Oryctolagus cuniculus: one gene and its partner. The protein of the gene in region 2 binds, or shares a complex with, the protein of the main gene of each other region. Links are inferred from orthologs where the notes say so. Each region holds a gene or a part of one and is shown on either strand. Other genes may lie near its edges. The genes, in order: TCAIM and OGDH.

Region 1 (15,906 bases), on a different chromosome or scaffold from region 2:
TCCTCTGCCTGCGGCACTGGCATCCCATTTGAGCACCAGTTCTAGTCCTGGCTGCTCCGTTTCCAATCCAGCTCTCTGCTATGGCCTGGGAAAGCAGTAGAAGATGGCCCAAGTCCTTGGGCCCCTGAACCTCCATGGGAGACCCAGAAGAAGCTCCTGGCTTCAGATCGGCACAGCTCTGGCTGTTTTGGCCATTTGGGGAGTGAACCAGCAGAGGGAAGAGCTTTCTCTCTGCCTCTGCCTCTCACTGTCTGTAACTACCTTTCAAATAAATAAATAAATAAAATCTTTAAAAAAAAGAAAATATGAAAGACCATTGCACATAACTTTGTTTCATGAAATTGTTAGTGTATACACACACATGCACACACACACAGGATCCAGGTCAGGATGTATAGCATTCTCAGTAGCCAGTCCTCCCTCAGATCTGTGCAGAATTGGTTCCAGGACTTTCCCTACCTCCTCAACCCCCTGCCTCAGATATCAAAATATTTGGATGCTAGGTTTGCTTATATATTTGTCTGTCACTGATATACATCCTGGCGTGTTGTTTAAGTAATCTCTAAATGACTTATAATGCCTAATACAACGTGGTGCTATGTAAGTTGTTGTTACATTGTATGACAGACCTTCAAAACCTCATGGAAAATGTGCATTATATTTTAATACCATTTTTCCACAAACTTTTTGAAGCCCCCTGAATTCTCTGTGTGGAAAATACTGACAAGGCCTATGTCTGTGCATGCTTGATACAGACTATTTATTTATTTATTTATTTATTTTTTAACCAATAGTTGGTTGAATCCATGGATGTTCAACCTGAGGATGTGGAGATTGAAAATATTGAAAAGCAAAGCAAGGGGCTGGAGTTGTGGTGCAGTGAGTTGAGCCCACTGCCTTGCGATGCCAGCACATCCCATACTGGAGTGCTAGTTGGAGCCCTGGCTCCTGCTTTGGCCCATCTTCCTGCCAATGAGCCTGGGAAGGCAGGGAAAAATGGTCCAAATACTTGGGCCCCTGCCACCCCTGTGGGAGACCAGAATGGAGCTACTGGCTCCTGACTTTGGTGTAGCTCAGCCCTGGTGGTTGAAGGCATTTAGGAAGTGAACCAGTGGATGGAAGATCTCTCTCTTTCTCTCTGTCCCCTTTTGAAATAAAAAGTAAATAAGCAAATAAACATTTAAAGAAAGAGGAAGAAAACAAAACAAAACTCTAGCATGGATCTTGCGCCTCCCTTTGGGCTTTTTCCTAGTCCTGGAAGTTGTCTGTAGCACTGGGGATACTGCATCCCCCGACAGGTGCAGCTTTGGGTTTTGGGATGCCGAGGCGTGTGAGGCCCCTTCTAAGCCTCCACCCCCAAGGAGGGAAGACTGGAAGATCTCCCTGTTGTCTTGCTCTTCTCCCTCGTAGAGATGTCCAGGAGTCAGTTCGTATCGGGGAAGAAACCTCTAGATACGTTTTTCTGGGTCAATGAGATAACTGGAGAAGTCACCTACCCACCATGGAAGGCCACCATGCCTGCAGCTGCTCCTGAAACACCACAAGAGAAGTCCGGCTCTCAGCATGGGGGCGTGCAGGGGGCTCCTCCCTGTCCCCAGGACCTGCTCGCCGCCCCTGCACAGAGGCCTGTCCCTTCGCCTCTACCCACAGCATCACTGAAAGACAAGAGCTCAAGAGACTCCCTCCCTTGGACACCCACAGAAGGCCAGGCTAACACTGGAGCCAGGAGCCCCTTGCAGTTCTCAGCATTCCCCGCCACCATCTCAGCACCAGGGGGCGCTCTGTTGACACTCGGCCCCCTTGGCTTGGGCCAGAGGTCATCCGTGGCCACCTTTTCTCCCCATCCTTCCAGCCCTTGGGCCTTCACCTGCAAGCTGAAAAATGTTATTACTGGAAACAACCGATTTTCCTTTTGAGCCTCGGGAAGTGTTTGCACCCTGAAGCAGCTTTCTGAGCCATCCGTGGCTGGGGCAGCCACACCTGTTCCTGTGCACCTTTATGCTCTGTGAGGACCTTGCCAAACGCTTTCAAACCCAACATAAACTGTGTTTAGATTTTTGACACATGATCTCTTCTAGACTTTCATTTGCCTCCTGACCATCTGGGTTTTCCCCTCTTAGCTCCATGGGTCGGCAAGGCTGTTCTGATGCTGGTGTCTAAGCCATAGGCAGAGGAGACCTCCACGGGTGGGGATGGGGACCAGGCAGGAAGAGTAGAACCCTCAGGCCCAGTGTCCCTGGGGCATGGCCTGGGTCATCTCCAGGGCAGTGAGGGGCCAGAGCTAAGAGTGGAAGGAGCCAGGGTGGACACTGGCCTTTTGGACAGACCCTCATCCCCGGCTCTGTGATTTTCCTGGGCTGCTGATGCAACAGGCTTGGATGATGCCTTAGTGGGAAGTGGGCAGCATGTGCCCTAGTCCTGGCTGCTGCTCTCAGCCCTCTGGGAATGGAGTGGTGAGCAGTGGGGAGCTGCACCCATGAGGACTTCACCCCGTATCAGGCAGGCAGGCCCAGGGCCATGGGGAGCCTTGGGGAGGAGCTGTTGGAGAAGTTGCTGGAGTTCCGGTGCAGATCCGGCTGGGTCCCGGTCGTCACAGAGCAGCTGCAGTTGGAGTGTCTGCTTAGGGCGGACTCAGTGTGTCAGCGATGCTACAGGGTGGTGGGGCACGCAGAGCCGTGTTGGAATGGTGTGGCCAGGAGCCAGCACCCATGCTAGCTGGCACCTCTGCCCTTTAGCTCGCCTTGTAGCCCTGCTGTCAGCTTTGCCCAGGGGGCACTGTGCCCCTGCCTTGGCTTTGAGCCACATGAACTTGACTTGCTAGGCATTGAGGAAGTAGACTTTGGGGGTGAGGAAGAGAATGACTATGCAGTGGAGGAGACCCCAAAGCCTCTGGCTCACGGATGCCTACCCCATAGAGGAGACCCCCTCCCTTCCCTCAGCTCCCCCTGTAGGCTGTGTCAGCCCTGGCCCTGGAGTCACCCCACACAGGCAGCCTCCAGCCCTCATCTGATTCTTGGCTGGGCCAGGAGCACCAGGGCCCTTCTTCCAGGTGGGCTAGCTTGGACGTCCAGGCTCAGAGTGGCTTCCTGCTCCTTCCTATGGCTTCTGAATTACCCCAGGAAATGAGGCCATGGGGCATCCTGGCTGCCCTGAGAACCCCCCCTGCCTCCTGCCCACCCCATTATGTGGCGGGGGCCACAGGTGGACAAGGCTGAGGACCCTGTGAAGCCCAGTTCTCTGGGCTGGGGAGCACTCGCCTGGAGTCCAGTCCTGATTCCGTGGCCAATGTGGACCCTGCCTCCCCTGGCCTCAGCTTTCCTCCATGCACAGTGCAGGGGAGAGCAGGTCTGTCCACCAGGCCTGCCCAGTCTCCTGGGCAGTGCCCGTGTGCTCAGTGATGGGCTGGGTGGAAGCCTGGAGGTCAGGCCTAGGTTTGGGTCAGCAGATCTCAAGGCCAGGCTGCTTCTGAGCGTGGCAGAGGGCAGGGCCTGGCTGGTCCACAGGGCAGTGGGTGGACTGGTTTGCTGTCTCCAGGCCCCATGCAGGGTGTCCTTGATCAAGTCCTTGGTGTCATTGCTGATGGGCAGCCATGGTCTGCAGTCACGAGATGCACAGGATGCTGAGCAGGTGAGGCTGGAAGGCAGAGAGGGCTCGGAGGTCATCAGGACCCTGGTCCTGGCTGGGCAGGCAGTGGTGCCCTGTCTGGCAGGACCACTGAATCCTGACCTACGTGGCCACTTAGCCTCATGTTCATCCAGCTTACAAGGGTCCCAGCAGGTATCTCAGGAGTTCTCAGCAAGGTAAAAGCTGAGCCTTCAACAGGGAGCTGGGCTCAGCATGGTGTGGGATCACAGCTCAGTGACACCAGTGGAATTCTCAGGACAACTAATGCCCTGAACAGACACCCAGACAAAGGAAGTCCTTTCAGGCCAGTGTGGCTCAGTCCCCCAGCTTGTGACCCAGCAGGCCTGCTGATGACGTAATAAAAGTGGGGCAGGAATTTCCTTTCGAGATTGGATGGATTGCCCACTTGCAAGATAGCCATCAGTCTGAGCTCTCAGGGTCTCTGATCCAGAAAGCCAAGCAGCAGTGGGTGTGGACCCTCCACGCAGGCCACTGACAAGAGCCTAGCAGTTAAAGCCAAGCCCAAAACAGCTCCACAGAGCTCACCCTGGGCCCAAGTCGCAGGCCAGTGTGTGTGTGTGTGGACAGCAGGGTAGGGGCACGAGTGGGGCTTTGTGACTATCCGAGCTACGGAGGGACAGGCATTTGGTCTTGTGGTTAAGATGCCCATGTTCCATATTGGAGTGTCCGGATTCACTTGCTGGCTCTGGCCCTTGATTCCAGCCTCCTACAGGGCAGACCCTGTGAGGCAGCAGGTGATGGCTCCAGCGGCTGGGTCCTTGCCATCCATGTGGGAGACCTGGATCAAGTTCCCGGCTTCTGGCCCAGTCCAGGCTGAGGCCGGGCTATCCGGGGACTGAACGTGTGGATGGGAGACCTGCATGCCCTTTTGTCCATGTCCATGTCTCTGCCTCTGACTGAGGGTTCTGTTGTTTGCTGATGGAATTCATGTTTTGCCTTCCCAATGGCTGAAGTGGAAGTTGGGGGCAGATCCTAGGAGCTACCTGTCCCTGGGGATCCCAGGCCACACACTGCCAGGCCTGGGCGAGGAGGGTACCCTGGCCTGCTCCTGGTGGCTGTTCCCCATCCCACTCAGGCAAGCCAGACTTGCCACCCTGCAACTCAGACCAGTACCCAAGGGCAGGCCTCTGTCTCCCCTGAGCAGTCTGCACCCAGGCATGCGTGGCCTGTCCGAGGCAGAGGCAGGGGTGCACCAGGTTGTCTGCGGGACACGTGCTGAGGTGACTGGAGGAGGAGCTGTCCCACAGCAACTGTGGGGCCAGTGCAGGAGCTCAGTGGGGAGCCCCAGAGGCAGACTTTGGCTCCATTTGGAGAGAGCGTCTGCTTGTTCAGGGCTACACACTGCTTTGAGCACTGCCTGGGGAGGGAATGAGCTCTCCATCACTGGGGGTGTGCAAACAGCATCTGGACAGGCCTCAGTGTCTCCCACCCTGCGGATGTCCACAGGATCTACCTGCCACTCCTGCCGGGGACTAAGGGCAGCCTGGCATGCAGACAGCATGGGCCAGAACCAGCTGCTGGAGACAGGTCTCATGTGAGGCCAGAGGATTGGGACTCAGAGCTGGACCCGGGCCTCTGATGTCCCTCCCCAACCCCTCGGCTCCTTTGCGGTCACTGCCTCCACAGGAAATCATCTCAGTGCTCTCATTAGCAGAGGCAGAGGCAGAGAGAGAGATCTTCCATCTGCTGGTTCACTCCCCAAATGGCTGCAACAGCTGGAGCTGTGCTGATCTGAAGCTGGGAGCCAGGAGCTAGGAGCTTCTTCCAGGTCTCCCATGCAGGTACGGGGGCCCAAGGACTTTGGCCATCTTCCACTGCTTTCCCAGGCCACAGCAGAGAGCTGGAGTGGAAGTGGAGCAGCCAGGACTCGAACTGGCAACTATACGGGATGTTGGCACTGCAGGCGGCGGCCTCACCAGCTATGCCACAGCGCCGGCCCCTGGGCCAATTCTTACACAAAGGATAGGCACTGGCAGTGATGGCACTGTTGTCAGGGGGCTGCAGGCTGGGCTTTGGCCAGGTGACATGGATGAGTGACGGGTGGTCTTGGAACAGGTCAGGAATTTGTGGTCAGGCAGCTGCTGGGCCCAGTCTTTGGCATCTGCTCCCTGGTCTGTGGATGGGAGCATGCCAGGACATGATCTCTCCCAGAGCTTGGAGCGCCAGGCCCATCTGTCTCTGCAGACCTGATGTGGTCTAATGGATGCTCAGGGAAGCCTGGACAGAACCCTCCAGGGTAGCTGGAGGCTGGGTTGCTGGCCTCTGTGGAAGAGGCTGAGTTAGTGTGGGGGAGGGGAGACTGGGAGGCTGGACAAGTGACCTGAACTGGAAGGGGTCACTCCCGGGACCTCTGCCTGGGCTGTGCAGCCAATCCTTTAGGATCCCAAACTGAGCTGGTCCTGGCCCCTCTTATCCTGCCCATCCCTCAAAGTGCAGTGCTCTCATTAGCTCAGGGAAGCTGCCTGGAGGTGGAGGCCTCTGAGAGGAAGTAGGGCCTGAGCAGACTTTGGACACATGCCTCCCTGGCTGGGCAGCTGGAGCGGAGGGGCCCCAGCTTTCTGGGGACGGCCCTAGCCCAGCACTGGCACACTCAGCCCTTTGGAGACCAAGGGGTAGAGGGGCCCGCGCTGCGCCAGTTCTGAGTGGCAAGAGACATTTCCCTGCTGTTAGGCGGGGGGAGGTCAGACGGGCGTCCACAGGTCTCCAGGTCTTGTAATTTCCTGTTAGTCCGCGGCGGTTGTGAAACTGCCAATAACTCGCTAACAAGACCAGTCAGTTACCTGGTTGATGCAGGTTTTATTTATCATGTAACCATTAGTTCTGAGACAAGAATCCAATTCAGAACGTATTTCGATTTTAGAAAACGTACAAATCAAACCTCATATTTTGATTATTTTTCTTATGTGAAGTTTTAATTTTTCACTCATTATTTGGTTGTGGGAAATTGTTACAGGTGACAGCATTTGTTACATTAGAAAACAGATTTTCAGTACAGGCTGAATATCCCCTGTCCAAAATGCTTGGAACCAGAAGAGTTCTGGATTTCAGATGTTCTGAGTTATCTTGGGAGTGGGACCCAGTTCTAAACGTGAAATTCATTTATGTTTCATATATACCTTATACACACAGACTGAAGACAATTTTATACAACATTTAATAATTTTGTACATGGAACAAAGTTCAAGCTGTAGAATTTCCTACTGTGGTATCATGTCGATGCTCAAACCATTTTGGATTTGAGGGCATTTCAGACTGGAGATGTTCAAGTTGTACAGCCAAGAGGCACAATTATAATAAATCAACACTTCTGATGAACACACATTTGAATTCCAACTACTTAAATAATCCATGGCTGAAATTAAAACATACCTCAGTTAACTGACTCTAACAGTGTACTGTGGAAAAAAATTCCGATTTCTTCAGCAGCAAAAGCCACAAAAACAGTGTCCTGCACTGGGATTCACCTTGTCTCCTTGAGAAAGGACCTGGATCTGGTTTAAAATATGACCCGAAGGAATGGCGGGGTAACTGCAGAGGGAGCTGCACCCCGTACATCTGATCTCTGGCTCTGCTGGGGACGCTGTACCCTGCAGGGCTAACCAGGGGTTTCAAATGTCGGTAGGGACAGGAAGGTGGGGGCTGGGGGCACAGAAGTCCTGAGCGGTGTGAGCCATTTTACATTCCACTCGACTCCTCGCAGCTCTCTGGGATGCAGGCCAGAATTCTCCTGACGGTGTGTGCCCATGGGCACCAACGAATCTCCTCCTTCAGGGTTTCAGACAAGTGTCCTGTCTGCTGGTTTGGTGCTGGCAACGGCTAGTTTTTTAATCGGGAGGAGAAATGATGGGTTTACAACTAAATTCTCTGTCACTGAATATGTCACACTGCTCATGACACTGTCCGCCCCATGGATTCAGCTGATCTTGTTCCTTTTTCTCTGAGGCAAAAATCGATTATCTAATTTTTTCTACTTATCCATCATTGGTTTTGGACATCAGCTGTCCCTTGCTGGCTGCAAAATAATGTGTGTGCATTTGTACATGAGAGACATAACCATAACGATGCATATTGAGTCATGTTACATGTAGGAGATCCCTCCAGACTTTTCTTATATCCTCTCTCTCTCACACATACACGCACGCACACACACTTGTCCAGCCTCATTTACATTTATAAAAATAGACAACTCTTGTCGAATCATTCATTTGTATATCTCTAAAAATATGTTCTTTCTCCTAACCTCTTTTTACCTAGGTTTGTCAGCCCACATGGTAAAACTGGGAGATAAAACCTTTTCAAAACGGATTTTCCAGCAGAAATTAATTAAAAAAAAGATCTACCTTTAAAGCAGCATCTAGAAATTTTTGTTTTTGTAATATGTAAATAATACTGTTGTATTAAACTGTGGATTTAAATAAGCTTCATTTAACAGCTTCTTTCTTATGGCTTTAAAAAAATAAAACAGGGCTCTGTGTTACTTAATGGCTTCTCCATTCTTCCAGTTCCAGGGAATACACAGGTCTCCGTCCTGCAGGACGGAGTAGAAGTGGGAGACGCACAGGTGCATGCCGCGCAGGGAAGGCAGCGACTGCTCCAGGAGTCTTGTGCAGCAGTCCACCATCTGCGCGCTCGAGATGCTGGGCTCCTTGTACAGCTTCTCCAGGGAGAACCTCTTTGCCGAAGCCTCTATCAGCTCCTGCTCAATGCTCTTCAGCCTGGAACATCAACACACACGTTGCTGTCAGCTGGAGTGCGTGAGGGAATGTCAGATGTTACCATGGTCTTATGTCTTGGGGCTGCAGCTCCCCATGCATGGCAATGACAGTGGCCTTCACTGGGCCCCGAGATGTTTCCTGTGAAGAGTCACTGCACAGCCCCTCGGGAGGGGTCTCCTCGTGGATTGCAAGAGTACGGTATTTGTCAATCTTTGTAGCAGTAAGGCAAAAATAATTAATGCACAATTTCAAAAGCTCCTTTCCTGCTTCACTCAGCAGCTACTAGTGACTGAAGAAAGCAGAAAGTTGAGAATATAAAACCCCAAGCTTTAGGCACCACCTGAAGTTTAACCCTCGGGCACTAATAACTTTTTTTCCAAAACAAACAAACAAACATTTATTTATTTATTTAAACAGAGTTTTAGAGAGCGAGCGAGAGTGAGAGTGAAAGATATCTTCCATCTGCTGGTTTACTTCCAAACGGCCAAAGCCATGAGCCTGGAATTCCATCCAGCTCTCCCACGTGTGTGGCAGCGGCCCAAGCCCTTGGGCCACCTTGTGCTGCTTTCCCAGGCACATCAGCAGGGAGCTGGATCAAACAGAACAGCCAAGGACTTGAACCAGTGCTCTCATGGGATGTCAGGGTCATAGGCAGCGGCTTAACCTGCTGTGCCACAATGCCAGCCCTCAGTACCGACTTCTAAATCTTCCCAGAGTAGACAGTGGGCTCACAGCAAAAGCTGGAGCTGGGACACCATGTTCTCGCCACTCTGACTTTTCCACCCCTGCCAATCCCTTTCTCATCCTTCCCTTTCAGGTGTCTTGTCCCACCAGGAGCTCCCGTCCAGGCCTACAAGTTCAATACCTGCAAGCTGAACTCAGTGTCTCAAATCCTTTCTCCCAGAGGTGGCAAATGCTCCTGGATCAAGTGTTCTACTAATTGTCCCCATGCCCCACTCCCAAGGCTGTGTTCACAACACATTTACCTGACATTTGCACAGGTAGACTGGACCAACGCATATGATACCTACGGATAAGGTACAAGCCACAGTCAGGTGCTTCTGAACCAGTGTCACTTAAATACTGTACAGGTTAACGGCAGCCATCTCTCCTGTATTTGACCACCCTCAAACTCTGCACGAAAGAGGAGACTATCATAAAGTACCCGTGAGGTAAGCAGAAGTGACTGTTAACGGGTCTGTAGTCAGCTGCCCTTGGATCACCCTCTCGGGGGCTGCTGGCTGCTTCCACACAGCGCTGCTCAGATTCAAGAAAGCAGACAGTGGTTAGGGGAGACGGGGTTCTCAGTTCTCAGAACTCATCTTTAGGATGAACTACACAGCAGGGCATGACAAGCTCCTGTAAGGGGCTTTTCCACTTGCTCAAAAAAATAATAAAGACATTAACAAGATATCTATAGCCTGACTTAGAACGAGGCCTGCAGTGTGAACAAGCTCTGTGTGGTTCCATAGCTGCTCCCTACATAAACCTGGGTAGGGTCCCCACACTCCTTCTAAAAGAAGTCTATGGTCTCAGCCCAGGTTACCCGGGCTGGGCTCCTTGTACAGCTTCTCCAGGGAGAACCTCTTTGCCGAAGCCTCTATCAACTCCTGCTCAATGCTCTTCAGCCTGGAACATCAACACACACGTTGCTGTCAGCTGGAGTGCGTGAGGGAATGTCAGATGTTACCATGGTCTTATGTCTGGGCCCCCACCGATGATGGGGAGAATGCATCAGTCCTTCTAGGCTGTGACTTTGGTTTGCTAGCACGAGTGCTCAAGAAATGCTGGCTGAATGAATGTGCATTCTTTTACAAGGCTGTTTCCGCCTTGTGCAAGCGTCAGAATTCCTCCACTTGTCTATTACTGTGCATTTCCATTGTTTCCAATTTGTACAGGTGATTCTGGAGTTTGGAGTGGGTGACACTGGGTGAGTGAAACATCAGAGTGAGTCCATGCTTGGGAGCCTGGCTTACTCTCAGGCGCCGGCCACCCTCCTTATTGCCAGCCTGCATCAAGAGCTGTAAACTGGGCTGCTGAGGCCTCAGAGGAGTGTGGGTTCCCCTTTTCTACGCCCCAGCTAGGCAACAGGAGACGGGTGCTACTGAGACGGTCATGTGGGTCCTAGGAAGGTGTTAGGTCAGAAGAATGCATTTCACCCTGTCTAGCAAGCTGGCGCCCTGCACAAGTGTGCAGCGCGCCTACGGCTATGGCTGCCTCGAGTTTCTCCTGGAAGAGGAGGAGATGTCAACTTCTATCTTGTTTAAAAACCTGCTTTATAAAGATGTATGCAGTGGGAAAGGGTTTGAAAATCAGAGGATCAGTAGGAACATGGTTCCTGTAAGGAGAGAAGGTGCCTTAATCCCTCCCTGGAGAATGCGTTGGAGGCGACCTTGACACGGGGAGAAAGCAAAGGAAAGGAGAGAGGACCATGGGGAGGGCAGGCTGCTGGGGTGGGCCCAGAGCCCAGTCTGGGGGACAGTGAAGGCCATGACTCAGCGGGCAGGTGTGCTGGGCTGGAAGCAAGTGCTTGTTCTCCTTGGAGCATAAGCATGGGACGGGGCCCGGAGCTGGGGAGGGGCTTAGGCAGTGAGAAAAGTTGGTGGATTATTTGCTAAGGGCCGGCTGGGGAATAAAACAGGTCCAGCTCTGCCCTCCCAGGGTGTGCATGCGCGTTCTGTGTCAAGGAGAAGAGGGACCACAGAGGGAACGCAATGGAGAATTTCTTTCTGGTATTTTTATTTTTCATTCTGTTCTTGAGTTGAATTTTGTTATTAACAAACCCTGCTTCTCAAACTGAGGTACATGGTGACATGGTGGTAATGCACTTTACCTACTTACACTCATACTTAGAAAATAGCCACATGAAATTTCTTGTAGGTGGAGAATAAACAAATATGGACTATTCACTAGTTAGTTTCCTAAGTTTAATTCAGCTTTTAAAAACAGCTATTTTTGGAGCAGACCTGCGTGGAGAGCGTGGGAGCCCACAGTTCGGGACATCAGCGGCAGACTCAACACACCAGCGCTGGAACGCGAGGTGAGCCAAACCTCAATAACCCGAGACACCGGCAGGCAAGCGGAGAGAGGAGACTAGAGGGAACGACCCCCGGGGCGGGGGGGACTTCACCAAGCTAACTGGAAGAGAGAGAGAGGGAAAAAAAAAAAGGTGACTGGTATGGATACGGGTTTCTCTCTCTCCGCTCACCTCTCAAGGGCGAGCAAGACAAAGAGCAGGCGCCATCTTGGACATACGTCATAAGCAGAGCGACCTCAGGTCTGCACCGGCCCTGAGCCTAGCAGTAAAACCTGACTCTGGGTGGGGCGAATTAACAGGAGATTAGGACTTAGTAAATTTATGGTGCTACTGAACTGAGACTGTGAAAAAAGAGACGGTGGGGGAGAGAACTCACGGAATTCACGTGAGCACTCTCCAGAGACGCTACAATTCCGTAACTTTGGCAACCCAGTGGGAGACTGAAGGAGAATTTGAGCCCACTCTAAGGGCCGAACAGATTCCCTGTGTGGTCCTTGGGAAAGAGCTTCTGATCTCTGGCTCCTGTGGGTATATCATTTGCCTGCTAACTACCTCCAACTTTGTTCAGCTGTGCAGAATAACTTCCCTGTTGAATCAAAAAAAAAGAGAGAGAGAGAGAGAGAGAGGTTTACCACGCCTAACCTGGGAGTGTCACCTTTGGCACACCAAACAGAGCTCTCAGGCCACACCCATCTCAAGCCCTAAGGCTCCATCAAAAACAGATAGTCCACTTAATCTAGAGTCATAGTATAACAAGAAAAAGCACCACAGTGAAGAAACCAAATATCTCCAATATGACAAATAACAAACGCAAAAACCAAGGTAATAAAAACAAGGAAGTCACCATGAAGCCCTCAAATGAAAAAAACACCCCAATTCAAGATTATGAGGATGATGACATAGAAGAAATGCAAGAAGCAGATCTCAAAAAATTGATAAGAACATTAAGAAGTTCTCAAAAACAAATTCTTGAACTACAGAAATCCTTAATGGACAAGATAGAAAATCTCTCTCGTGAAAATGAAATATTAAGGAGGAATCAAAATGAAACGAAACAACTAGTACAACAGGAAACTGGGATAGTGACTGAAGTGAAGAATTCAATAGATCAAATGAAAAACACAATAGAGAGCCTTACAAACAGAATGGGAGAAGCAGAAGAGAGAATATCGGACTTAGAAGACAGAGAACAGGAAAGGATACAGTCAGACCAAAGAAAAGAAGAGGAAATTAGGAATCTAAAACATATTGTCGGGAATCTTCAGGATACTATTAAAAAACCCAACATTCGGGTTCTAGGAGTTCCTGAAGGCATGGAGAGGGAGAAAGGATTAGAAGGCCTTTTTAGTGAGATATTAGCAGAAAATTTCCCAGGTTTGGAGAAGGACAGAGAAATCCTAGTACAGGAAGCTCACAGAACCCCTAATAAACACGACCAAAAGAGATCCTCACCACGGCACGTTGTAATTAAACTCTCCACAGTGAAACAGAAAGAAAAGATCCTAAAATGTGCAAGAGAGAAACGTCAGATTACTCTCAGAGGATCTCCAATCAGACTCACAGCTGACTTCTCATCAGAAACTCTACAAGCTAGGAGGGAATGGCAAGATATAGCCCAGGTACTAAGAGAGAACAACTGCCAGCCCAGAATATTATATCCTGCAAAGCTATCATTTGTGAATGAAGGTGAAATAAAGACTTTTCATAACAAACAGAAATTGAAAGAATTTGTTGCCACTCGTCCAGCCCTGCAAAAGATGCTTAAAGATGTGTTACACACAGAAACAAAGAAACACGGTCATCAATATGAAAGAAGGTAAAGGAAGGAAACCAAGGAAGGAAAGCTCACAGCAAAAGATCACAGGGAATTCAAAGCATATATTAGAACTTATCTTTGGCAAATGGCAGGGCAAAGTTACCACTTATCATTAGTCACATTGAACGTGAATGGCCTGAACTGTCCAGTTAAAAGACACCGTTTGGCTGATTGGGTTAAAAAACAAAACCCATCTATTTGCTGCTTACAAGAAACACATCTTTCCAACAAAGATCCATACAGACTGAAAGTGAAAGGCTGGAAAAAGATATACCATGCCAACAGAAATGAAAAAAGAGCAGGCGTAGCCATCTTAATATCAGACACCATAAACTTTACCACAAAAACCATTAAGAGAGACAAAGAGGGACACTACATAATGATTAAGGGATCAATTCAACAGGAAGATATAACAATTATCAATGTATATGCACCTAACTACAGGGCACCGGTTTATCTAAAAGATTTGTTAACGGACTTAAAGGGAGACTTAGACCCCAATACAATAGTACTGGGGGACTTCAATACTCCACTCTCAGAAATAGACAGATCAATAGGACAGAAGATCAACAAGGATACAGTAGATTTAAACGACACTATAGCCCAAATGGATCTAACAGATATATACAGAACTTTCAATCCTACAGCTAAAGATTATACATTCTTCTCAGCAGTACATGGAACCTTCTCTAGGATTGACCACATACTAGGCCATAAAGCAAGTCTCAGCAAATTCAAAAGAATTAGAATCATACCATGCAGCTTCTCAGACCATAAAGGAATGAAGTTGGAAATGAACAACTCAGGAATCCCTAGAGCATACGCGAACACATGGAGATTGAACAACATGCTCCTGAATGAACAATGGGTCATAGAAGAAATCAAAAGAGAAATCAAAAACTTTCTGGAAGTAAATGAGGATAACAGCACAACATACCAAAACTTATGGGATGCAGCAAAAGCAGTGTTAAGAGGAAAGTTTATATCAATAGGTGCCTACATCAAGAAATTGGAAAGGCACCAAATAGATGAGCTTTCTATTCACCTCAAGGATCTAGAAAACCTACAGCAAACCAGACCCAAATCTAGTAGGAGAAGAGAAATAATTAAAATCAGAGAAGAAATCAACAGGATTGAATCAAGAAAAACATTACAAAAAATCAGCCAAACGAGGAGCTGGTTTTTTGAAAAAATAAACAAAATTGACACCCCATTGGCCCAACTAACTAAAAAAAGAAGAGAAAAGACCCAAATCAATAAAATCAGAGATGAAAAAGGAAATGTAACAACAGACACCACAGAAATAAAAAGAATCATCAGAAATTACTACAAGGACTTGTATGCCAGCAAACAGGGAAACCTATCAGAAATGGATAGATTCCTGGACACATGCAACCTACCTAAATTGAACCAGGAAGACATCGAAAACCTAAACAGACCCATAACTGAGACAGAAATTGAAACAGTAATAAAGGCCCTCCCAACAAAGAAAAGCCCAGGACCAGATGGATTCACTGCTGAATTCTACCAGACATTTAAAGAAGAACTAACTCCAATTCTTCTCAAACTATTCAGAACAATTGAAGAAGAGGGAATCCTCCCAAATTCTTTCTATGAAGCCAGCATCACCTTAATTCCTAAGCCGGGAAAAGATGCAGCACTGAAAGAGAATTACAGACCAATATCCCTGATGAACATAGATGCAAAAATCCTCAATAAAATTCTCGCCAATAGAATGCAACAACACATCAGAAAGATCATCCACCCAGACCAAGTGGGATTTATCCCTGGTATGCAGGGATGGTTTAATGTGCGCAAGACAATCAATGTGATACACCACATTAACAGACTGCAGAAGAAAAACCATATGATTCTCTCAATAGATGCCGAGAAAGCATTTGATAAAATGCAACACCCGTTCATGATGAAAACTCTAAGCAAACTGGGTTTGAAGGAACATTCCTCAATACAATCAAAGCAATCTATGAAAAACCCACAGCCAACATCCTATTGAATGGGGAAAAGTTGGAAGCATTTCCACTGAGATCTGGGACCAGACAGGGATGTCCACTCTCACCACTGCTATTCAATATAGTTCTGGAGGTTCTAGCCAGAGCTATTAGGCAAGAAAAAGAAATTAAAGGGATACAAATTGGGAAGGAAGAACTCAAACTATCCCTCTTTGCAGATGACATGATTCTTTATTTAGGGGACCCAAAGAACTCTACCAAGAGACTATTGGAACTCATAGAAGAGTTTGGCAAAGTAGCAGGGTATAAAATCAATGCACAAAAATCAACAGCCTTTGTATACACAGACAATGCCATGGCTGAGGAAGAACTTCTAAGATCAATCCCATTCACAATAGCTACAAAAACAATCAAATACCTTGGAATAAACTTAACCAAGGACGTTAAAGATCTCTACGATGAAAATTACAAAACCTTAAAGAAAGAAATAGAAGAGGATACCAAGAAATGGAAAAATCTTCCATGCTCATGGATTGGAAGAATCAATATCATCAAAATGTCCATTCTCCCAAAAGCAATTTATAGATTCAATGCAATACCAATCAAGATACCGAAGACCTTCTTCTCAGATCTGGAAAAATTGGTGCTGAAATTTATATGGAGGCACAAGAGACCTCGAATAGCTAAAGCAATCTTGTACAACAAAAACAAAGCCGGAGGCAT
Region 2 (16,198 bases):
ATCCCTCTTCTGTCACACGATCCAGATACACAATACACAGGCCCCTGTTCGTAACAGCATCCGTACTCATCATAAAATAATATTGCAGGGGCTGGTGCTGTGGCATAGCGGGTAGAGCCGCTGCCTCCCATATGGGCACCAGTTCGAGTCCCGGCTGCTCCACTTCCAATCCAGCTCTCTGTTATGGCCTGGGAAAGCAGTAGAAGATGGCCCAAGTCCTCGGGCCCCTGTGCCCACGTGGGAGACCCGGAAGAAGCTCCTGGCTCCTGGCTTTGGATTGGCACAGCTCTGGCCATTGCAGCCAACTGGGGAGTGAACCAGCAGATGGAAGACCTCTCTCTCTCTCTCTCTCTCCCCGCCTCTCCTCTCTCTGTGTAACTGACTTTCAAATAAATAAATAAATCTTTAAAAAAACTAATATTGCAAAGATTTATTTCCGGGGAAGTCTGCTCTGACATCTCTCTTACTGAAAATTAGACTCGGGGCCGGCATTGTGGCGCAGTGGGTTGAGCCGCCCGCCACCCGCAGCGCCAGCATCCCGGATGGGAGCAGTTCACGCCCGGGCTGCTCCACTTCGGATTCCACGGCGACCGCAGCTGGGACGCGACATTCGCCAGCTCCGCCGCAGGCTCATGTGTGAGTTGGTCACAGAGAAGGGGTCCCTGCCGCGGGCACAGCTCGAAGCGGCCGGCCGCCGTTTGTCCCGCCTTTGCTGGCTCAGCCCAGCTGCACCCAGGGCGCCCACCCTCCGCTCGGGCCATCCTCGGAGCTCGTTCTCGCCCTTTAACTGGGACTCTGCCCGACTACGCAAGCCCTAATTCATTTGAAATTTTTTAAAAAGATTTATCCTATTTATTTAAAAGAGAGAGAGAGAATATCTTCCATCCGCTGGTTCACTCCCCAAATGACTGCAACAGCCAGAGCTGCGCCAATCTGAAGCCAGGAGCTTCCCCTGGTCTCCCATGCAGGTGCAGAGGCCCAAGCACTTGGGCCATCTTCTACTGCTTTCCCAGGCCACAGCAGGGAGCTGGATCGGAAGTGGAGCAGCTGGGACTTGAACTGGTGCCCATATGGGATGCCGGCACTGTAGGCACAGAATTAACCTACTGTACCACAGTGCCTGCCCCCCCAATAAATAAATCTTAAAATATATATCATATGTAGTTAGAAATACATATATAGATAGATATAGGCCGGTGCCGCAGCTCACTAGGCTAATCCTCCGCCTTGCGGCGCCAGCACACGGGGTTCTAGTCCCGGTCGGGGCGCCGGATTCTGTCCCAGTTGCCCCTCTTCCAGGCCAGCTCTCTGCTGTGGCCCGGGAAGGCAGTGGAGGATGGCCCAAGTGCTTGGGCCCTGCACCCCATGGGAGACCAGGAGAAGCACCTGGCTCCTGGCTTCGAATCAGCGCGGTGTGCCGGCCGCGGCGGCCATTGGAGGGTGAACCAACGGCAATGGAAGACCTTTCTCTCTGTCTCTCTCTCACACTGTCCACTCTGCCTGTCAAAAAAAAAAAATAGATGTAAATACAGATTTTAAGAGATACTGTTTGCCCTGCTGGCCTTGCTTTGGTACAAAGAGTCCTCTGGAATTATCCATTCAACCCTTTCTGGTTTGGGACTGGACACCCTGAGTGTCCCTGCATTCTAACTTGCATTGTCACAGGCTCATGGCCTCAGGAGTTTGCCTTGAGTGTTGACTTTGGACTTGTGCACTCCTGTTGGACTGAGTTAAGACTTTGGAACTATGGGGGAGGAATGACCACGTGCTGTGTGGGAGAAGGACACGGGCCTCGGGGCGCCAGGGAGCAGCCCGTGTTTCCGTGGGGTTCCACTCCCAGTCTCACACAGGACTCGGAACGCGTAGTCGTAGGTTACTGGAATTAAGACAGCGGAAGTTAATACAATCATGGCATTTGGGGGCTGGGCCTGGTGGGAGGTCCTTGGGTCACTGGGGTCAGGCCCTCAGAAGGCAGCTCTCACCCCAGGGTTGGCTGAACGTTTCCTCTGCTTCCTCTCCTGCCTGATCTTGGACTTGAACCTCCAACTCTGAGCTAAAGAAGCCTTTCTCAAAATAAATTGCTTGTTTTTATTCATTTGAAAGAGAGAGAGAGAGAGAGAGAATCTTCCATCTACTGGTTCACTCCCCAAATGCCTGCAGCAGCCCAGGCTGGGCCAGGCCAAAGCCAGGATCCAGGAGCTCCATCCGGGTCTCCCACTTGGGTGCAGAAGCCCAAGAACCTGGGCCATCGTCCACTGCTTTCCCAGGCACGTTAGCGGGAGCTGGATCCGAAGTGGAGCAGCCAGGACTCGAACCAGCGCTCGTGTGGAATGCCAGCACTGCAGGCAGCGGCTTTTCCGCTGCACCGGCACCAAGGTTCTTCATTTTTCAGTTTGCAGTAGTCTGCCTCCCCGCTTTGGGACATCAGCCTGCAGACTATCCCTTCCATTCAGGGCTGGGGAACTTCTCTCTGGCCGGGGCCATCTGCACGTTTAGAGCATCATTCGTGGGCCGGGCGAAATCCTCAGGCTAAACAGCAGCCTGCTGTGCGCGTGCTGAGCTGAGTCTGCGTGTGGTAGCCGTGGCGGGGCCAGACACGTGGCTTCCTGGCCTTACCTGGCCCGCAGCCCGGACAGGAAACCCTACCTTCATACCTCCAAAGGACGCCTGGCCAACAAGGTGGAAAACCTGCCCCTCGGAGGCACAGCGCCTGCGTCTGAACACTTATATGCAGAGAAACGGCGCAGGTGCAGAGACAGTTGACAGAAGGGCCGGGAAGGTATCCTGGACAAAGGCAGGGCTTGTCCTTACGCCACGCTCTGCCAAGGGTCTTCAGGGAGCGCTCCCTCGTGGAATATCACAAGTGGAGGTTATTTTTATTCTCCAGAGAGTTTCAAAACAGCCAGCTACGGGCAAGAGGGCTGTAGTTCCCTTATTAGATGAGTGACTGCAGGGTGGCACCCATTAGCAAGTAGGGCAAAGGGGCCAGCGTGGCGGGGCAGCAGGTTGAGCCAGTTCTTGCAGCTTTCAAACCAGCTCCTTGCTAACGCGCCTGGGAAGGCAGTGGAGGGTGGCCCAAGTGCTTGGCCCCTGCACCCACGTGGGAGACACGGATGGAGTTCCGGGCTCCTGGCTTCAGCCTGGCCCAGCCCTGGCTGTTGTGGCCATTTGGGGTGGGGAAAAAAAATCTGTCACTTTGCCTTTCAAGCAAGTAAATAAACTTTTTATTTATTTATTTATTTATTTATTTATTAATTAAGGAAGGCGGTGTGTATGCCTGTACTCATGGCTGGAACTCCATCTGATCCTGCTCGCAACTGAGTTTTTCTTCTTATTCTGCAGGGGCGGAGTTTCCGGAAGAGCCGGGGTCCTGGTGTCTGACCCCACTGGGTCACTGGAGCTCCTCTCAGCGGCCACCGCACAGCCTGGCAGAGGACGCACTTCCCACAGAAGCCTGGAGGGAGTCTCCCTCGCACTGTCCTGGCTGTTGACAGTCCTCCGGAAGCTGCTAATCTGGGGGCGGCCCCGGGTCATTCTAGGAGGGCAATGATGATAACAGGTCTCCTACAGCACCAGGGACACAGTAACACAGAAAGCAAAACGTGCAGCTAAATGCAACAGCCCTCTCTCTCCCTCCAGTCCTTCACAGGATGTTTGGTGGCTGAAGAAAAGTTACACCACATCTGACCTGGCTCTAAATGTATCTAGAAAAATTTATGGAAACTGTCCAGTAAGTGTGTTGCAGAAAGCAATGGAGACTGCCGTAGCTTGGCAGTTAGGGTGCTCTTCTCCCATGATCGAACAGGGATGCAGGCACTGCAGGCGGCGGCTTTAACCACTACGCCACAGCGCCGGCCCCTGGGCAGTTGATTTGTATATTTGGGCGGAGCTGGGGAGCCCACATCTGCTTTGGGACTTTCCCACGCTCTGGGACGACCCCCACAAAATGGAGCAGGGTAACAGGATGCAAAGGGAGCCAAGGTTCCTACACATCACTTGGTAAAATGAAGTATCAGCAGACTGTGGTAAGCTCTGCATGTGTAGTACCTGGAGCACCACCAGATCCAGTATTAAGCTCTTCCAAGCTGTTTGGTGCAGGGCCGCCGACGCCCACATCCCTGTCAGACTGCCTGGATTTGAGTCCCGGATTTCTGGGAGGCAGCAGGTGGTGGCTCAAGTACTTGGGTCCCTGCCACCCACCTCGGAGACCTGGACGGAGCTCCTGGCTCCTGGTTCAGCCTGGCCAGTCTTGGCGGTTGCAGCCATCTGGGGAGTGAGCTAGCTAGTGGAAGCTTGTCCTGTCACTCTGCCTTTCAAATAAATAAATAAATAAATAAATAAATAAATAAATAAATAAAAAGGAGTAGTATAACACATGCTGGCAAGGATACAGAGAAGGGAGAACCCTTACACAAAATTTTGGGACTGTAGATTCATATGACCATTACGGAGAACAGTGTGGGGTTTCCTCAAAAAACTAGAACTAGATCTACCATCTGGCGCAGCAGTTCCAGGACTGGGTACACCGCCAAAAGACTCGCGCTCTAACGGTACTCGGATTCGTTACAGCTGGATGCACAGTGGGCGCGACACGGCATCAACCTGTGTCCAGCAACAGATGAGAGGATAAATGTGTCTACAGCCACAGTGTCATGAAAAGGAATGCAAGTCTGTCACCGGCAGCCACACGAATGGAAGTGGAGCACACCGTGTTACATGAAATCAGGCACAATATGCCGCATGCTCACACACACACGAGGACGCCACAGCCTTGGTCTCCTAGGAGCAGAGAGGGGACCATGGTTACCAGGGCCTGGAAGAGCGGGACGGGGAGAGGGGAGCTGGGTTGATGGGGCCCAGGGTACCACAGGACAGAATGATGTTCCCAGCCGCAGGAGGGCAGCCCAGCCAAACTGACAGCAACTGTAGGTCTCCAAGCAGCTGGGCGAGAGCACTGGCGTGTTCCCAACGCACAGGGACGAGGGCCGTCACCCCGCACGCGGTAGACAGCCATGACTGATGGCAGTGCCAGTCAAAAGCAGGAATACATATAAGGAAAGAACTCTACAATGCAGAATTATATACTATGAGAAACTGGGGTTTGTTTGAGGAATCCAAGTTTGAGAGTCAGTGTAACAGGCTAATGAAAAAAAAAATCATGATTTTATCAACAGACACAGGTTCTGGTATGTGAGTATCCCCAGAAATGTCATTTTTTTTTTTTTTTGACAAGCAGTTAGACAGTGAGAGACAGAGAGAAAGGTCTTCCTTCCATTGGTTCACTCCCCAAATGGCCGCTACAGCCGGCACTGTGCTGATCCGAAGCCAGAAGCCAGGTGCTTCCTCCTGGTCTCCCATGCAGGTGCAGGCCCCAAGTACTTGGGCCATCCTCCACTGCACTCCCAGGCCACAGCAGAGAGCTGGCCTGGAAGAGGGGCAACCAGGACAGAATCCGGCGCCCCGACCGGGACTAGAACCCGGTGTGCCAGCGCCGCAGGTAGAGGATTAGCCTAGTGAGCTGCGGCGCCGGCTGTCATTTTTTTAAAGGATTTACTTATTTTCCCTGGACCCTGCCAGTCACTCCAGCCTCAGGGCCTGTACGTTAGCCCCACCCCCACAGATGCCTTTTGGAGGCCTCTCACTGCTGTTGCAATCAAAGGGCTCTGGGCCAGGCCACCTCCAGCTGGGGCCTGCACACCTGCCCGGGCAGCGCCGGGCCTAGGTCTCTGGGGGCCACCCTATGCTCCTCCTCTCCATTCCTCAGCCAAGCAGGATTCCTGTGAGCTGTTTCCAGGATCCAAAGGAAAACTCCTCCCCTTACCCAATCGCCCTGACACCTGGCCTCCCTTCTCAGCCAGGCCTGCTCACTGTGTGGGCGTGGCCTCCTGCCTGCCGTGCCCACGGGCAACCCTTACCTGGCTTCCCTGAGGTGTCACTACCCCTGGATGCCCCCGGTGAACTCTGTCACCAGTGAGTACTGAACCCAAATCCTGGAGTGGGCTGGGGGAGGCAGAGCTGGCATCAGGCCCTGACCCAGTCTGGTTAGGGGAGGATCAGGCTGGCTAGCTGTGCAGTGTGGACACTGCAGCTGGACAAGCGGGGGTCTCCGCCTGCGGGCTCACAGACGCCAAAACAGGGGCACTTTCTACGGTCTCTCCTCACGCCAGTCCTAGCTGAATCCCATCCTGACCCGAGCTCACCGCCACAGCCACCTGGACTAAGCAGCCAACAGGGGCAGCACCTCCCAGGCAGCCCAGGGAGCCGTTGCCCACCTGGGCTCACAGCTGTCAGCAGCTGTGTGGCCACAGGCAGAGTCCATCTCACCATCCAGTCTCGCGTGCGGCTGGGGCGCGTGGGCCCTTTCGCATCCAGAGTGGCACAGGACGTCCCCTGGCCCACCTGGAGAGGTGCAGCCAGGAGCTCCTGGGGTCCGTGCGCTCAAGCCCTGAGCACAGGCTTGTACAGAGAACCAGACCCACGCCTCCCTCACCGATGCCGCTACCCTGGGCCATCCCTGCCCACTGTGCACGTTCCCTTCCCTGACCCCACACCGCACACACGTGGGCCCTGGCCTGCAGCAAACGCAGGTGAGGAGGGCGCCACCAGCAGGCCAGTCCAGGGCATTGCAGCAGCAGGCCCCTGGCCAGTGCACGTCAGTCTTGTAGGGGGCTCAGGGCCAGATCCATGCTTGGAGCACGGCTAGAGCCCCCACTCATTTCAACAGCTTTCTGAGGAGCCAGGCCCACCCCGAGGTCACGGCCCCACAGGAAGGGCTCAGGGCCGGTGACCTCACCTGACCCGGAAGTGCTGCCGGCTGCCCCGTGCCAGAATGTCCTGTCGTGGCCACCCTCCAACAGGACTCTGGGGCTGGGGTGAAGCAGGAAAGGCCAGACCCCTGCCCAGATGGAGGCTCCAGTGGGGGAAGTTCCGAGAGCTTCCTCCTGCACACAGGACTCTCCAGCCCCAGGGAGCTCGCGTGCGGCTTGGGTCCCCACTGCATCGGGCGCGGGGACCTGTGTCCCGAGCACCTGCTCCTGCCAGCATCGGCCGGGGTCAGGAGGCAGCAGCGGGGTAAACCCGAGATCCAGACATTGCGGGCATGGCTCAGGTGGGCACTGCTGGGCAAGGGGGGCCGGGCCTGGGGACACACTCCCAGGCACCTGCCCCACCAGGAGGCCGACGCCTGGGTCATTATGGGTTAGATCGTGGACTCCTGACCAGAGAGGACACAGGGCCTGGAATGGTCAGAACCAGGCTGCACCTAAAGCCAGCCCTGCAGCCAGGCCGCCGCACCACGCTCACGAGGACAGCACCGGTGCACGTCGGGGCCTGGGCCTGGGCCACACTGCCCCAGCGTGCAAGGGGGCCGCTGGTGGCCTCGGCTGCTATGTCCGAGAAGGGGACTGGCCCCCGGGAAGAAGGCGGAGTGCACAGAATGACTCAGACAGCCTGTGGATAACTTAGTTTATGGGTCAAGCCGATGCAATGCAAAGTTGTTTTTGTTCTTTTTTTTTTAACCAAAATAAATAATCAGATCTGTCCCTGTGAAGGTCGAAGTGAGGACGAAGGCGGCTGGCCCTCGGCTGCAGCCCTTACCACCTCCTGCTCCTGACCTGCTTTGGCACAGCAAAGAAAGGACTCATTTAGTCTCCACTGGGATCATGGGAAACAGCAGGGAGCGGGGTGTGGCGGGGAGCAGGTCCGCGGGACTGGGACGGAGACGGAGCGGCCAGCGCCCGGTTGTGGGCACCAAGGGTGCTGCCCGGCCCCAAGAGGGTGAGTGGGACACGGCCCCATGTGGGGCCCTGGACTCACGGGGAAGCCTGGGATGGACACTGTGGGGCTCGAGCCACCGCGAGCATCCACGGTTCAGCCCACAGCCGGGGCCTCCCGGAAGCCCTGCCAGCCCAGGCCCTCTGGATCCTGAGGCTTGGCTGTGGGAAGACAAAGCCCCTGTCCCAGTGCAGGAGCCCACGCCTCGCTGGGTGACAAGGACAGCCGCTCCGGGAGGCCACACAGGGGCTCTCCTCTGCCCTAGGGGGGGTGCTGGGGGAGGGGTGTAGCCGGAGCTGGGGGGAGGGGCATCCTTCTCCCCTGCTGCCCCCTCCTCCCAGAAAGCTGCTCGGCCTGACAGAAGTCAGGACAGCCCGGGAGCCGGCGGGCAGCCGGCACTCAGGGACAGGGGCCTAATTCCTACGAGGGCACAGCGGGGGCAGAGTGGGTGGCGCTCAGGCACTATCCTTCAGTTGAGAAGCGAGGGCAGCGTGGGCGTGGGGGGCAGCGGCGCACCCCGGAGCGTTTACGAGAAGTTCTTGAAGGCGTCCAGGTCGAAGGCGGTGTCCAGCAGGCGCTGCAGCTCCGTCAGGTGTGTCTTCTTGTTGCCGGTGGCCGGAGCGGCCGCTGGGTCCCGGCCCGCGTACCTGGGACAGACAGACGGGCCGTGAGGGCGACGGCCGCGGCAGGCCCGGCCCATCCCGTCCCGTCCCGTCCCCCGGCGGGGCGGGGCCTCACCAGACGGGCTTGGCGCGGTCGATGGTGGTGCGGAGCCTGGGCTTCACGTAGTCGTAGTAGCCCTGGTTCTTGTGCTCCTCCTGGCACCAGGCCAGCTCGGCGTTCGGGTACTTCTGCACCTCCTTCAGCAGAAGGTCGAAGGGGAACGGTGACAGCTGCGGGGGGAGGGTGGGGGGTGGTGGTGAAGAGGGCGCCGCGGGGCGCAGGCAGGGCTGCCCTGAGGGGCTGTCTCGCGGAACAGACGCCGCCTCTCACCTGCTCAATCCTCGTGATGGCCACCTGCTCGGCCATGCCCCTGGCGGCGCGCTCGCGGGTGAGGTCGTAGTACACTTTGCCCGTGCAGAAGAGGAGCCTCTTGACACCGGCGGGGGCCTGAGCTGCAGGGCCGCTCTCTGGGATCACCCTCTGGAAGTGGGTCCCTACAAGAGAATCCCCGGGGCCGGGCTGGTTCCTTCTCCAGGCCCACCCAGCGGTGCTGGCTGTGAGCGGAGGATCGCGTGGGACGGAGGCCACCCCGCGCAGCCTCTGCTGCACACCGAGCACTGGAGAAGCGTGTTGCACTGTGCGAGGGCTGATTCTCCCACAGAGCCTGATACGGGCATTCAGGGACAACCGAGCCATCAGGACACCCGTCTCCTGCATGCCTATGCCTCACGCGTCTACAAATCTAAGAACTTTCAACAGAGGTCAGAGGACAGACCAGGTGCCGAGGGGAACAAGGTTGAGTGAGGAAATCACGTTCAAACTCAGTGCCATGATGAAAATTTTCAAATGTCAACATGAGAAAAGCCATCTGTGAAGCCCACAGGAACCGTCAGACTCCGTGGTTGGAGGCTGACGGCTCTGCTCTGAGGTCACGGACATGGGGCGGGCATTTGGCCTGGTGATTCAGACGCTGATTTAGACACCAGGCCCCCCTCAGAGTGCTTCCAGCTTCCTGCCCACGCAGTTCCTTGGAGGCGGCAAACAACGGCTCAAGCAGTTGGGTCCCTGCCACCCACGAGCGAGACTGGGACTGTGCCTGGCAGTGTGTGTGGTACCAGTACAGACGGGGCCCACAGGTAACCCCTGCATACACACTCAAATGATCGACCAGCAGGATTCCGTCTGCTGGGGGAGGCGACGGTCGTTCTGACAAACAGTACTAGGAAAACTGGGACCCATGTGCGACAGAACGAAGCCTGTGAACGCATGTATGGAAAATTCACTTAAAGAGGATCAAAGAGCTAAATCTAAGAGTTAGGCCTCCAAATCTCTTGGGAGAAAGATGGGAAAATATTATAAAAATGGACTTGGCAATGATTTCTTGGATATGACCCAAAGACAGAGGCAACAGCAGAAAACAGACCGTTTGCATTTCATGAAAATCTAGAAGTTCTGTAAACCAGACATTGTCAACAGAATGAAAAGGCAACTCATGGAAGGGGAAGCACGTCTCTGGTGAGGAACAACAGCGGGGACAGAGAGCTGAGGCTCAGCAACACAAAGACACTTGGATTAAAAGTGGGCAGAGCTGGCCGGCGCCGCGGCTCACTAGGCTAATCCTCTGCCTGTGGCGCCAGCACACCGGGTTCTAGTCTCGGTTGGGGCACCAGATTCTGTCCCGGTTGCCCCTCTTCCAGTCCAGCTCTCTGCTGTGGCCCGGGAGTGCAGTGGAGGACGGCCCAAGTGCTTGGGCCCTGCACCCACACGGGAGACCAGGAGGAAGCACCTGGCTCCTGGCTTCGGATTGGTACAGTGCCGGCCATAGCAGCCATTTTGGGGGTGAACCAACGGAAGGAAGACCTTTCTCTCTGTCTCTCTCTCTAACTCTGCCTGTCAGGGGAAGAAAAAAAAAAAAAGTGGGCAAAGCTGGTGGAGATGTTTCTTTAAAGGCCACTAAGCGCACAAAACACGCCCAGCGTCAGGTTTTCAGAGATGAGAATCAAAACCACGAGGAGCCACTGCCTCATGCCCAGCAGGACGGCTGCTAACAGCAGCACAGCGGGAAGCGCGAGTGTGAGTGTCGGACGCGCCGCGGCAGGGGATGCAGCAGGGCGCAGCGCCGCTGGCGGGGCCTGGCAGCTCCTCGGCGCGAAAACAGAACTGGCGAACGCTCCAGGGAGATTCCACCGCTGCCACACACCAACACGGGGCGGAAGGCGGGGCTGCGGAGACGTGCTCGTCCGCGCACGGCCCTGAGGAGGCCTGGCAGCCGGGAGGGGGTGAGTGCCTTGGCCCCAGGAGCACCTGGGCACGTTCAAGTGGCCACGGCTGCCAGCACCTGTTCCCCACAGCCACCCGGAGGCCTCAGGCCCGGGCCTCACTCCGCACCGGCACAGCCAGCGCTCCTTGCAGGAGCCGGGGTGCGGGGGAGGAGTCACAGGAGCCGCTGGCTCTCAAGAGCCTCTACGCAGTCCTGGGGGCACTCACAGGCGAGAGCCAGCAGCCTCTGCCCACGGCCAGGAAAAGTCAAACGTGAAGTCCTGCGAGCCCCACAGAGCAGCAGCAGGGAACCCCCAACCCCACCCACCCACCTGGAAGCATCTCGTCAAAGCTGGTCCTGGCCTCAGGGTGGCGCAGCAGGGACTTGGGCGTGAAGATGATCAGCTGGAAGACAACAGGCCCACGATGCTCTCCAAGTCCCAGAAGCTGGTCGGAAGCCAAGGCCACCCAAGCTGGACCCTGGGTCCCAGCAGACAACGCCCAGTGCTGGGCGGAGCCTCCCTCAGCGGGGGCAGACACCCAGCTCCCAGCTGCTGAGGCCCTGGCCCCACCCCGCACCCAGGAAGAGCCCGAGCCTCTGGCAGTCACAGCAAACACACCGTCGGCCTGCCAGAGGGCGTGACAAGGTCCAACCCCAGGACCGCCCTGCCCCGCCGGCTCACGGGCTGGCTGCTGGGAATACACTCCCCTCCTTCTGCTCGTACCCCGACCCGGCGCCTACCTACTCTCCAACACGCAGCTCCTTGCAAGCCCTGGGCCCCTGCGGGTTTCTGTCTTCCAGTACTCAGCACCCCCCCAACCCCAGCTGCTCCCATGACCACCCTCGCCCTGCTGGGCTGGACCTCACAGCCTGCCCTTCCCTGGGAGCAACGCCAAGAGGGACCCAGCTCTGACTCCATCCTGTCCATGCACCCCTTCCAGGCAACAACTGGCCAGCCCCAAGCTAGAGGCCCTGGGAAAAGCCTGGCCCCGTGCCGGCGTTGCAGGGTCAGCGCCCTGGGTCACAGGTCATCCTCAGGCCAGGCCAGGCCCGCACTGACCGGCTTGCGAAAGGGCAGCAGGATCTGGCGCCGCAGAACGTGGAAGAAGTTGCCGGGCGTGGAGCAGTTGACGACGACCCAGTTGCAGTCGTACAGCTGGCTGATGTCGAAGTTGGCTTGCTGCAGGTCCTGTGGGGAGCAGCGGCCAGGGGCTGGGCAGGAGCGCTGAGCCCCTCACGCGGGCGTCTAGGAGCGAGGGGCGCCACTCCCAGGGCCCTGCCCTCTGCTTCCCCCTGGATCCCTCCCACTGCTGTGAACTTCCACCCAGCACAAAACATGCTATTTTAGGAGACACCGGTTCTCCCTAAAGCCAACCCCAATCCTCCTTAGAAACGGACCACCCGTTCTTTTCAGGTCTTGGAATCTCAGTAGAATGCCCCGAAGTTCTCTCCCTCCAACATCTGCGCGGGCCTGGTTCAGGAGCTTGTGTGGAGGTGGCCACACGGCACACCGTGGTTTCAGCAGCAGCGGGGTGTGGCCAGCAGGCGAAGCTGTGCCACAGCCTGACCTGAGCCCCAGGCCAGGGAAGGACGGCTCAGGGTGACCGACGGACTCCGCTCACTCACCGGCAGGACATCTGGGTCATCGTTGCACATCTGCAGGAACCGCTCTGGGCGTGCAGAGGAGTGCTCTGGCCCCTGGAACAGACCCCCGAGTTGGCCTGGGAGCTCTCGCGGCTCCCCTCCTGGACCACCTCGCTTGTTTCTGGTTCTTCCTCCTGGCGATGAATCTCGATCCCCCCCCCACCCCCCGCCGGCACAGCACGTGGTGTAAGACCGTGCCCGACCTGGGCTCACCATGCCCTCCATGCCGTGGGGCAGCAGCAGCACGATGCCATTCTGCCGCACCCACTTGGCCTGCCCGGGGCAGATGAACTGGTCGATGATGCACTGAGCCGTGTTGTGGAAGTCACCAAACTGGGCCTCCCAGAGCACCAGGGCGTTGGGGCTGGCCATGGCGAAGCCCAGCTCAAAGCCTGTAAGGGACGAGGGGGAGAGCCACATCCTGGCCGTCAGCCAGCGGGCGGGGCGGGGCTGCAGGCCGGGGGGGGGGGGGGGGGCGTGGGTGGGGCTCACCCAGGACGCCGTACTCGGACAGCGAGCTGTTGCACACGGTGTAGGGCGCCTGGTTGGGCCAGAGGTGGTTCATGGGGATGCAGGTTCTCTTGTCCACATTCTGGTCATGGAGCACATGGTGGCGGTGGCTGGGGCGGAACGAGGACCCGTGAGCCTGGAGTGCAGCTGCCACAGCCCACGCAGCCAGGACGGACATCCAGAGACCCTGCACGCTCGAGGGATCGACCGCCCGGCACGCGGGGCACAGCAAACGAGGTGAGGGCAGAGTAGCCGCAATGCCTGGGCCGCGTGGCTGTTTCCCCAGAATCCCGTGTGCCTCAACGCTACCTGAAGGTGCCACGCTCCACGTCCTGGCCGCTCAGCCGGATGTGGATGCCCTCCTTCAGGAGCGAGCCGAAAGCCATGTACTCCGCCAGAGCCCAGTCCACGGTGCGGTTCTTCACCAGCTCTCCGCGGGTCTTCAGGATCCGGCTCAGCCCTGCAGACAGAGCCCTCACAGCGCTGCAGGCCTGGCCCGCGTGGCTGCTCCACTCTGCTGGGGCCAGGGCCTTCTGCCCCTGCAGCCCCGGGCTTCCAGTGGTGTGGAAGGGCACGGTGAGCACAGGGCTCTGCCGACAGCAGCAGTGGGAGGGGCCGCGGGGCCTCTGCAGGACGAGAGAGGGCCAGTGTTCCCCCCGGCCAGCCCGACGCACTTACCTCCGTGGATGGTGAAGTTCTCCACGGGCACGGAGCTGGCCACGTTCCCAATGTGCGTGAGGACGTCCTCGGTGAGGCCCGTGGAGGGGCAGGACATGCTCCGGGGCTGACCGTCCAGGGTGAAGAAGCCTGCGAGGGAGGGCAGGCAGAGGCGCCGTAGCACCGTGTCGGGACGACACCTGCGCGGGGTGCTGCTGACTGCGGCACACGCCGGAGGAGCTGGACTCTGGGAGGGGCCTCCTGGTCACCTCGCGGGCACTAAGGGGTCTCCGCGGGGCCCTCTGCTCACCAGGCCAGGGCGAGTCGAGCCAGTGCTTGATGTGCAGGATCTTCTCGTCCTTGGACCTGGCGAAAGCTTCCTCGCAGATCTTGTCGTACTTGGAGATCTCCTCCTGAGGGTCGGGCATGACACCGCTGGACGGGGACAGCGGCCCTGCCGCACACACCCCGCTGCACCTCCTACTTCCTGTGTGCCTGCTCCTCGCAGCCCTGGGGTGCAGGGCTCCAGAGCTCTGTCTGCGCCCACACGTCCGTCTCTGGGGTGTCTGCCTGGGCTGCCTGCTGGCAAGCGAGCAGGCACAGCCTCTGTGGGACCACACCCGGCCCCGGGTGGAGCCAGACCTTGCACTGCTGTGTCGCTGAGGGAGCCAGCGGCCGCCACCCCCACCGCAGACCCCATCTCAGTGGCCTCCTGGGGGCTGAGGGGCTGTAGGGGTGGAGCTCTCGCTCCCTGTCTGGGTTGCCCACGGCGGCCTCCCCGCTCTGGGCCAGGACGCACCTCATACTCGGGCTGGTTGACCACGCCCTGGGCCACCAGCAGCTCTGCGTACTTCTGCAGCACTGGCTTCTGCTTGCGGATCTGCTTGTACATGAGGGGCTGCGTGAACATGGGCTCGTCCATCTCGTTGTGGCCATTGCGCCGGTAACACACCTGCACAGAACAGGGCCGGAGCTGTCAGGGACCGCAGCAAGCCCTCGGGAAGGAGCGCTCCTTCCCTAGAATGAGGGTCCTGTCTCTTGACCTGGCTGCCATCAGAGTGATAGCAACACACACTCCTTACTCTCCAAGCAGGCCCAAGAATAAACTCTGGCACCCACAGCACCCGGGCTGTGCTAGGCTCAGATGCTCTGGCTGGAGGAGCCCACGTGGGGGCCAGAGCTAGGAAGTCCCAGGGTGCTCAGGGAGTCCAGCCCCTCCAACAGGACACCAGGGCGGGGGGGGGGGGGCGGGGGGGGACTCTGCCTGGGGTCACTCACCAGATCAACGACCACATCTTTGTGGAAGGTGCTCCTCCACTCGGCTGCCACCTTGCACACATACATCACGGCCTCAGGGTCGTCTGAGTTCACGTGGAAGATGGGGGCGTTCACCACACGGGCCACGTCGGTAGGGTACGGGGAGGAGCGGGCCATCCGCGGGTCTGTGGTGAAGCCAATCTGCAAGGAATACACAGTCTGGCACACGGGCAGCTGGCGCAGCCAGTGACAGGAGGGCGGCGGGCAAGGTGGGCCCCTGGCCCTGCCGCTCGGCCACTCAGAGGGAGGGAGTGCCCACGTTCTCCCGAGGCTTTTCCTGTTCTGATTTCTAGAATTCATCTGTGTTCAACACAGAGAATCAAGCATTCTGTGATTCCACAGACCAGTGCCGATGTCTGCAGACTATCTTTTTTGTATGCACATAAACGCAAACATATTGAAAAGTCAGAAGCTTATGATTTCTACGATTTCTGTGCCTTATCAACACTGAGCATTTTTCCTTTGAAAATAAAACTCCCTACCCCTTGGGTACATTAACATTTAATTACATGATACTTCCTACCCCCGGGTGTAACAAAATTACACATTCTTAATTTTTAACTTTAAAATTTCATCTGTATGAAGTATTTCAGACACAGAATGATAATACACTGCTCCTCCACGCAGCCATCCCCAGCAACGACAAACCTGGACGGTTCGTTATTCTTGTTTCTGGGCCTGAACCCACAGGTCCCTGCCCACAGCTGACTGTCCTGAAAAAGAGGACAGCTCCACGGGCCGCTCTCTCTGTTCCACTTGTCCACAAACAGCCAGCACCATCTTCTTGGCTTGCTGGTAACTACGTTTTGACAGACAAGACCTATTTCCCAGCAGCTAGGACACGTCCTTGCCCAGAGCACAGCTCAGCTGCAAACAGCTCCTATCACAGAACACCCGCACACCACACGTCACCGCTGCCCGCTCTCCGAACCACAGTCCACACGCACGCCCTGTGCACCACCCTGACTTCTTTCCCTCAGCCTAGTCCATCTTTTTTTTTTTTTCCCCCTGATAGGCAGAGTTAGACAGTGAGAGAGAGAGACAGAGAAAGGTCTTCCTTCCGTTGGTTCACCCCCCGGATGGCTGCCACAGCCGGTGCTGCACCGATCCGAAGCCAGGAGCCAGGTGCCTCCTCCTGGTCCCCCGTGTGGGTGCAGGGCCCAAGCACTTGGGCCATCCTCCACTGCACTCCCGGGCCACAGCAGAGTTGGACTGGAAGAGGAGCAACCGGGACAGAATCCAGCACCCCAACGGGGACTAGAACCTGGGATGCTGGCTCCATGGGCAGAGAATTAGCCTAGTGAGCCGCAGAGCTGGCCAGTCCAGTCCATCTTAAAGGCTCCTGTGCCTGCCTCTGTTTTCAAGGCACTGACA

What was found.
Region 1: the proteins of OGDH (region 2) and TCAIM are in contact, whole or in part, in a cryo-EM structure (PDB 8I0K), measured with the Homo sapiens proteins. The link is inferred for Oryctolagus cuniculus from reciprocal best matches to the Homo sapiens genes OGDH and TCAIM. Residues at the interface, in NP_001425937.1 of Homo sapiens: Gly301, Tyr304, Arg323, Tyr354, Arg356, Ile358, Arg364, Asn365, Lys387, Glu391, Tyr394, Cys395, Gly396, Thr398, Glu399, Lys401, Lys402, Lys561, Met602, Pro605, Glu667, Gly668, Ile669, Asn709, Met734, Ala735, Ser736, Pro737, Asn738, Gln772; in NP_001269842.1 of Homo sapiens: Glu214, Gln234, Arg235, Ser236, Trp237, Gly238, His241, Ser244, His247, Ser248, Arg251, Gln255, Asp272, Arg273, Thr286, Met287, Asp288, Val289, His290, His291, Glu331, Leu332, Gln333, Pro334, Val335, Arg375, Tyr376, Glu441, Ser443, His473.

The regions. Positions count from the first base shown.
Region 1 is NC_091441.1:112,020,754-112,036,659, forward strand, and holds the end of TCAIM (T-cell activation inhibitor, mitochondrial), read right to left. Parts: intron 9,990-15,906; coding exon 9,945-9,989; intron 8,361-9,944; coding exon of another isoform or gene 8,316-8,360; coding exon 8,120-8,315; 3' UTR 6,422-8,119; downstream 1-6,421. Other genes in the region: uncharacterized protein C3orf86-like, read left to right, coding at 1,413-1,916. UniProt on the Homo sapiens protein: May regulate T-cell apoptosis.
Region 2 is NC_091447.1:52,007,542-52,023,739, reverse strand, and holds the end of OGDH (2-oxoglutarate dehydrogenase complex component E1), read right to left. Parts: intron 14,966-16,198; coding exon 14,786-14,965; intron 14,460-14,785; coding exon 14,307-14,459; intron 13,921-14,306; coding exon 13,818-13,920; intron 13,658-13,817; coding exon 13,529-13,657; intron 13,311-13,528; coding exon 13,160-13,310; intron 12,961-13,159; coding exon 12,833-12,960; intron 12,733-12,832; coding exon 12,554-12,732; intron 12,395-12,553; coding exon 12,323-12,394; intron 11,886-12,322; coding exon 11,757-11,885; intron 11,101-11,756; coding exon 11,028-11,100; intron 8,931-11,027; coding exon 8,767-8,930; intron 8,667-8,766; coding exon 8,512-8,666; intron 8,421-8,511; coding exon 8,300-8,420; 3' UTR 7,448-8,299; downstream 1-7,447. UniProt on the Homo sapiens protein: 2-oxoglutarate dehydrogenase (E1o) component of the 2-oxoglutarate dehydrogenase complex (OGDHC). Participates in the first step, rate limiting for the overall conversion of 2-oxoglutarate to succinyl-CoA and CO(2) catalyzed by the whole OGDHC.